Linked DNA regions of Caenorhabditis elegans. The protein of the gene in region 2 interacts with the protein of the main gene of each other region in a pairwise test. Each region holds a gene or a part of one and is shown on either strand. Other genes may lie near its edges.

Region 1 (4,212 bases), 3.1 Mb from region 2:
TCGATATTTTAAATCATTTTGAGCGTCAAGAAATGTTCGTGGACTGATATCATAGTATGTCCCAACACATTTGTATTCATACATCTCATATGGACCATCAATTCGTCTACGGAATGCTAACATATCCTTCTCTTCGTAGAGCAACTCCCATCCTTTTCCAGGTGTCTTTCGATGAGCAAACTCCTCTTCACAGTTTTCACATTCTGCGATTCGATCATCACTGATTCCATGATCTCGAAATGTGAATCCGGCTGTAGATGCAGCTAGAGCAAACTTGCCGAAACGTCGGTCTCCACGGTAGAATGAGTAGGAGTACAGAACGCTAAAAAACAATAATTTGAATAGGACTGCCCTTTTTTATTTTTTGGCAAAAAATGGTTTTTATTTTGGTTGTTTTAAAAAATTTTAATTTTTTAGACATGTTTGAAGCGAAAAAAAAAGTTTTATTTTTGGTTTTTATTTTTTTTATTGAAAAAATTGAATTTTCGAATTTTGGACTAAAATCTACGCTTTTTTTTCATATTTTACAAATCTTCTTAAGCAAAATATGTTTTAATGGTTTTCAATGATTTTTTCTAAAAGTTCAAAATAAATCGAAAATCGACTTTTTTTGGGTTTTATGGTCACAAATTCCAATTTGTAGTTCTTGGTCCAAAATCAAAATCTGTTTTTTTGTTTTTTGGTAAGACTTTTTTGGTCCTACTTCACTCCATAATAGTTGACTTACGCTTTCGTCTTGAATCGTGACCAATTTTGACGGAAGTTTCGATACAGTGCAACCTAAACGTATTATAATTGAACACACTTCAATCAAAATATTGTTTACCTGTTTAAACAAAAAACTGCTCCAATTTCTGTTCAGCATATCTTTGTTTGATAAGACTTACTTTATTGCATTCGAGTAAATCTAAAAGAAATGATTGAAAAATGATTTTGATCAGTACGGTCAGTGAAAAAAAAACGATCAGAGTGATTGATCTATGCTATAGTCAGTTCACGTTAGAGATGTATAAAATAGATAGTTTTTGGCAGAAACCAACGAGAAAACAGGCATGTTCTGTAACCACGGATCTTTCAATTTAATTTTATTCTTGATGAGAATCAATAGAAAACTGGGAAGGTTTTTACAGGAAATACGGTTATTGGGTATGATAATTTGAAAACAAGAAAAGTTAGATTGGTTTTTTAAGATTGGCATGAACTTGAAAAGCTGAGTAAAGATATCGAATCATGGAATCACAGGAAAATGAGAGCAGCCACCACATAATTATTAGTCGAAATCTGGGGGAGGTGCAGCTGCAGAAGGGTACGATGGTGGTGGTAAAAGAGCATCTCCATCAATTGGTGGGCAAAGTGACATCATATGACTGCCGATGGGAAATAATTTCTCACGCAAAGAGAGCATGGCGCCAGTGTTCGTGTTGGTTCCAGCGTGAACAATGAAATAATACTTGTCAATAGAATGAACAGCAATTTGGTGGGACTCGTACAATGCAAAGGTTGTTTGATGACCTCCTAAAACATAACTGAGTAGAAATAAAAATGAGAAGTCAATAACTAACCCATGTCGAGTTTGTGAATTTGAGGGATTGTTGTCACGTGACTGACAATCAGCTGTTGCCTGAATCTAGAATTATCCAATGTCGATGGAAGACCTGAAAAATGGTTATATTTTTAAAGTTTATATTAATTATTGGTTTTATTGATGAAAATACTTACCGATATTCAGAATGAGACCTCCATCGTGATCAGTGATGAAGATTGCGCAGACCCCCTCATAGGTAAGCATAAGCTCTTCGAGCTCTTGTTGGACGTTCATCATTTTACTGAAACAATGTCTTTTTTGTTTTTTTTTTTAACTACAGATACCACTAAAATAATCAGCAACATAAGGAAAATTCTTGAATTGATAAAATAAGAGTAAAAATCTGAAATCGGTTTTGGTGGCCGAGTTTTGTCCCGAGGGCCGATAAAAATGGCCGAGGAACCCGAGAAAACCGCGCCGCACTTTGCGTTTTCACGGGCGATAGACTCCACCCTTTTGAACAGAAAATACTATTTTTTGTGCTTTTCAGCTGTTTTAGCTTATTTTTCAGTTCATTCCGTTACTTAAAAATTGAAAACAACTCAAAATAGTTATTCTATGTTTCTTTGTTTGTGAACGATTCAATTTTCCTGCTAATTAAGCATATTTACTTTTTATTTTCAAAAATCGTTTTCCTGTTAATCTAAATAAGGTTAAAACATCACAATTTTTATAGGTATGTCTGGAGCCGCTAAGAGGGTAGCGACGTCTTCCGTGAACTGGTCGAAGCTCGGTAAGTTGTTTAAGTCACAAGTTACGGTATTTTACGTATGTAATAAATAACTTCTCCACAATTTAGTGTTTTAACTTTTAATTTCAGCCGAGCGTTTGGTCCCGGAACACGCCGCAGAACTCACCCGCGTGAAGGGAGTCAGTGGAACTTTCCAATCCGCTGTCAGCCAGCTCCCGGCCGATCTTCCCAAGATCGACTTTGCTGCTTTGAAGAAGGCCCTCCCGGCTCATTCGGCAGTTCTCGATTCTCTTCAAAAGCAGTATGAATCTGTAAAGATCCCATACGGAGAGGTTCCAGCCGAGTATTTGAAGGAAGTAGACCAATGGGTTGATTACAACAACGCCCGTATTAAGCTTCATGAGGTCAAGGTCGCTGATGGACTTCAGGAGGCCAAGAAGGTTATTACTTTTATTTCGAAAAGATTTTTAATATTCTTTTTCCAGGTGGAGGAAAAGTGGGCCAAGGCTCCACCAGTTGAACATTTCGATCGTCAGCATTTCGTCGAGTATTTCCCAGCTCATTTCTATGATCTTCGCTACCAGAACAGAATTCCTGATCCATGCAACATCGGACTCAACGAGACTCCAGAAATTGAGAACAGATTCAAGGACTACAAGGTGGAGAAATTTACCAAATTATAGTCATATTTATTAATTTTCAGGTTCTTCGACGTGCCGACAAGGTTGACGACCATTAAACGATTTATCATGATGTACCGTTCAGTAGACAACTCTCGTTCTTCCTTATCGCTCTCCTACCATTTTTAAGACCATTTTGATTTGTTTTGTAGCCGTTTGTTTTATAATTTCGTCGAATTTTTTTATGTGCCTGGGAGCTTATGCAGTCGATACCCCCTTCTTCAGATTATGTATTTCATAAGAGTGATGGCAAGATAAAGAACTTTCGCATGTTTCCTTTATATTATATGAGAATTTCTTTGCAATTCGCGCGAAAAGAATCTGTTGGCATCATTGATTACCTTCGATGATCGGATTGAAGATATCAAAACAAGTTTTTTCTTTTCATGTTAAAACCAACTAATGAAGTTGAACGAATATTTCCATAGTTTCAATTAATGTCAGTGTATTATGTACATTGAATTCGGATTCCATGTAAAGATCAAGAATTGGCGTGAAGTGCACTATTGTTCTAAATAAGTGATAGATCACATTTAATCAAGAGGCGCCAGACGCGTTGTCTCTTATCTTGATTCGATAAATATGAAACAAACAGACGGAGGCACGACAGGCCTGACTTGTTATTCTTTTCCGAAATTTTTTTGCAGTTTCTTGATTCTTCTACATTTAAGAATTTCAGGGTTACCTAAGTATTTCTGATGCAAATGCGTCAACAAACGGTTAGTTTTATTATTTTCTAAAGTTTTTTTAAAAACTAAATTCAGGGACGACGGCGGCGTCAGCCTTCGGAAACATCTAATGGTTCTTTGGCTTCCAGTAGACGCTCCTCATTTGCACAAAATGGTAATTCGTCAAGGAAAAGTTCAGAAATGAGAGGGTATAGAAAAAAGCTTTAAACTTGTGTGAATAACTATTTCATTTTTGGACCTTGCGAGAAAGTGGTACATACTGCTCAAGATTCATTGTTTTCGACGAGTTCTGGATGGACAAATTTCCGTGGATTCTTCAATTTGTCTATTTTACTTTTGGTTCGTAATTTACTCGTTTTAAAATCTAGACTATTTCTAAATGTTGAATTTTCATTAATCTTCTTTTTATTCCTCTATAACCAAATTTCAGGTACTTTCAAATGGACGCGTGGCACTTGAAAATGTGATCAAATATGGTATTTTGATAACACCCCTTCAGTGGATCTCAACGTTTGTTGAGCATCACTACTCAATTTGGAGCTGGCCAAATCTTGCTCTCATCCTATG
Region 2 (3,904 bases):
CACGTGAATTACGGTTCGACGTGTCATCCTTTTCTCGCCGTTTTTCGATAGAGAACTTCAGTCCAGAATCCCATTCATGATAATCCACAAGTCGTCGCTTTCCGTCGAGCTTAACATCGGCGATAACACTCAATCTAAAGTGAAAAATATGATCAGGAAAAAATGAAGATTCACTTACATCTTCCACAATGTGTCGTAAACCGGGATTCCCAGAGAAAATGCGATTTTGGCTTTCGACGACGGATCCAGATCAGATTTATGCAGATTGAGATACATTTTCTCACAGTAACTGAAATTTGAGAATTAAATTGGCTTTTAAAAATTGTTTTGGCATTTTGCAGCCATTAGGAAAATACAAAACGAACATATTTAAAAAAAACGTACTGTTTGTATATAGTTTCTATTCTTTTCGGAGAAGATACTTTCTTTCTGTAGTCTTTCCACAATAGATATAAACACGGCATATCATGTGGATGGATAACTTCTCCAGTCTGCGGATCATGAATTTTCTCGTTTAAAAAATCCCACATTTCCGAATCCTCTTCGCTGCAGTAATTATGGTCCATATTTTTTCTGCTCTTATGTTGGAGACAAAGTATTCCATTATATTGAGCGAAGTATTCGATTCGATTCATCTGATCAACTTTAACATCGCCTTCTTCCTGCAAGTCACGCAAAAAACCTTCTTCGACGGGGATTCCGAGAGCAAAGTATAGCTTCAGCTTCGTCTCGCATGAAAGGCACGCTGAGTGTAAACTTCGGACCATCTCATTGAAATAACTGGAAATTGAAAGTTAATGTGAATAAAACAATTTAGAGTTTTTCTCTGTGAATAATTTCATCTCTCCACGACTCACTGTGATCTCAATCGTCGCACTTGTCTCACCGAGCCGGTCTTCGTCCGAAAATCCTCCCATAATGCATTACTGTCTGGATCAACATTCTTTTTGTCAATGTTTGCTGATTCATCATGAATTTTATTGTACAAAAATGTCCAAATTGCATCTTCTTCGATCCATGAAATCGGTGATATCGTCAATTCAGTCTCTGTGTAATCTGCATGACCTCTCGGGCCCAATGAGAGCACCTGACCTTCTTCAGTGAATGGCATCTGCTGGAAAGCAAAATAATTGATAATTAAGAACACTGAAAACGAGTAAAAAAAGCGTACTTCGAGGTGAAGATCAAGGAAAAATGGAGAAGTAAAGAAGAAAACAGGTTTTTTGAGGGAATATCGATCGATATTTCGAATATTTTATGGATAAAATAATAATATTACAGAAAAAATCGTTCCGACGTTTTGCGACGTGTCGATTGGTAGAAAATAGGACGTGTCGCACGGACTACAGTACTCCTTTGAAATCGTTGCGAGACCTTCAACCAAACGGCGGGCTTTTTAAAGCCATATTAGAGTTCTAAAAAATTAGAAAAAAACTCGAACTTTTTCCCTTTTGAATATAATTTCTCCTGAGCAATGCACTTTCATGATCATCAATTTTCATCAATTTTGTACAATTAAATGAATTTCATGTTAAAGAATAAGTATTTTATATTTTAAAAGTTCTTAAAAAAAACAAGAATGGCGTGAAATGATCTATTCATTGTTAGTAAATTGGAAAAAAATAAAATGGAATTTGGATGGGATGAATGAGACCCGATAGAAATATAAGATAATACATCGATCATCCCAAATCGTGAGAAATTGAAAGAATCGGCTGCTCGAGGTAGGCGGCCAGTGTATGAAGCTTAGCGCGGACCATTCCCAAATCGGCACTCTTGTCGGCCTTGACTGCCAGAAGCATTGTACGAGCGACGAGTGTGCAACCAATTACTCCATTCTCCAGAACGAGAATAGTTTCTTTCAGATCGTTGGCTGTAATTACAACTTGATCGAGGTGTTTGATTTCAAACTTTGAAGAATGTGAACTGGTAATTTTCCAGTTGAAATAGACTGATTATGAGCATGTTTTAAAAAATCTACCTCTTCTCTCGAGAGCAGCCCAGACACTGGCTATAAGTGCAGATGAGACGTTTGATGCAACGGCTTTCTGTTCGCTTCCGACGTAGGCAAGGAGCAATCCTTCCTTATTGAAAAGCCACGAACCATCAACACCGCTTGTGTTCACCTGTCCGAGAACATCAACCAGCGCTTTCTGTTTCAGCATCTATTTTAAAGTTTTGGATTACGGTTACTAGTTAGAAAGTTTTAATTTTGAAAATAACCAAAGAGTACGGTAAAAACCGAGAATTAGAAAAAATATAATCGAAAAATTGAATGATGATTTGAATTTATTGGAACAGGTAGGGAACATATGGAGATCCGAAAAAACATTATTTTAGAAATAAGGAATAAAACAACAATTGACGATTAAGAAAACGTTTCAAATAAATAGAAAACAATTGGACACTATGTTTTATTCCGTCCATCTGTGCTGACAATCTTGCGATGCACATACATAGTACAATCTCATCTCTTCTTCTGCCTTTTTTGTTTGAGCCTGGAAGAAGACAGCCTTACTTTTGCCACAGACTGGACATTGATGTTCTTCAGTCTTCGGGAGCGTTGGATCGTGAATAATATCTCCGACGATTTGAGTGAGCTCACTGAAATAATCCAATTGATTTAGAAAATGAGTCAATTTGACAATGAACTTACTCAATTTCGTGAACGAGCTTATTCACATAGATACACGGGTTAGCGGCGACTTCACGATGCTCACAGTTCCGGCAGGAATACATCAAAACTCGTGATTCCTTATCCTCTCGTGGGTACAGCATATTATTGCTGAAGTTTAACAATTTTGATGTTTTTTTTCAAATTTTCATCATTTTGTCTTTATTATTAGCTTTGAGCCAGAGGTGGGTGCAATTTTCTTTCGGCAATTCTACAAAATGGCATATTGCGCCATTTTGTTCCAACATTTTTAGTTTAAAATTAGTATCAAAATATAGTAATTCAGTTGATTTTACTGAAAATAACATTATTTTCGGCTGAAAAACTTCAGAAAGTGCTTAAAAATGGCATGCAAGTTACCGATTTTCAAAAAAAAAAACAAAGCTCGATAATGTTCCAGCTGAAAATGATATTTCCAGTTAAATCAATTTAATTTCAATATTTTCACACTAATTTTAAATGAAAAATGTTGAAACAACAAGGCGCAATCGGCCACTTTGTGAAATTGCCGGAAATAATTTCCTAAATAATATAAAACTAATTACCATTCTGGGCAAAACTTGATTCCAACAAAACCAGGCCCACTTTTCCCGGGTTTTTCGTTTTGACTCGGCGCCGGTGATGCACCGTTTTGATCGTACATATCATCGTAATTATCATACCCTTGGCTCATCTTTCTGAAAAAATATGATAAAACATTTTCAAGCTTTGATTTTAATTGCAGATACATTAGTGGAATGGAAAACCACAAATAGCGAATCAAAAATGTGGAAAATAAAATAAAAATGCAATTTTTATTTACAAACCAACAGAGGAGAGATAAGATTATTCGAAGAAGGAAAACCGACCTTTCTAACTTTGTATATACATATAAAAAAGAATTCCATAAAATAAAGAAATGGGGGAATGATGCTAGCCATTTGATTCTAGAAGCTTTAAAGAGATAGGAGTGACAGTGGAATTATTGACAGGAACATGTAGAATATCGAAAAAGAAGTGAATTTAGTGAAAAAAGAGCATTTGAATTATTCATCCCAGTTAACCCATCCTTCTTCTTTCTTTTCGCTTTCAGGTCGAGGTGTCAATGGTCCCTTTTCGTCATCTTCGTCATTTGATGGAATTTCCTATAACTAGTTTGACATTGCTATCGATTTTCAATAATTGGGCAGCACTTTTAATAACATTTGGTGCAAATTTTTCGAAAAAAAAATTATGGTTCAGCGACAAAAC

The links.
Region 1: the proteins of lmtr-2 (region 2) and lmtr-3 interact in a two-hybrid assay, tested with the Caenorhabditis elegans proteins (one large-scale study listed by BioGRID).

What each region holds. Positions count from the first base shown.
Region 1 is NC_003283.11:11,121,917-11,126,128, reverse strand, and holds lmtr-3 (Late endosomal/lysosomal adaptor and MAPK and MTOR activator 5), read right to left. Parts: upstream 1,827-4,212; 5' UTR 1,820-1,826; coding exon 1,720-1,819; intron 1,656-1,719; coding exon 1,563-1,655; intron 1,516-1,562; coding exon 1,271-1,515; 3' UTR 1,076-1,270; downstream 1-1,075. Other genes in the region: strt-7 (Phosphatidylcholine transfer protein), read right to left, coding at 1-322, 728-780, 827-865; atp-5 (ATP synthase subunit d, mitochondrial), read left to right, coding at 2,264-2,318, 2,406-2,716, 2,762-2,935, 2,980-3,015; mboa-2 (O-acyltransferase), read left to right, coding at 3,655-3,675, 3,721-3,833, 3,882-3,984, 4,076-4,212.
Region 2 is NC_003283.11:8,008,942-8,012,845, forward strand, and holds lmtr-2 (Ragulator complex protein LAMTOR2 homolog), read right to left. Parts: upstream 2,166-3,904; coding exon 1,982-2,165; intron 1,874-1,981; coding exon 1,683-1,873; 3' UTR 1,550-1,682; downstream 1-1,549. Other genes in the region: Y97E10AR.4 (SPK domain-containing protein), read right to left, coding at 1-134, 179-289, 385-780, 858-1,111; DNA-directed RNA polymerase II subunit rpb-9, read right to left, coding at 2,415-2,604, 2,657-2,785, 3,220-3,404; Y97E10AR.6 (BSD domain-containing protein), read right to left, coding at 3,700-3,798. UniProt on the Caenorhabditis elegans protein: Regulator of the TOR pathway, a signaling cascade that promotes cell growth in response to growth factors, energy levels, and amino acids. May activate the TOR signaling cascade in response to amino acids.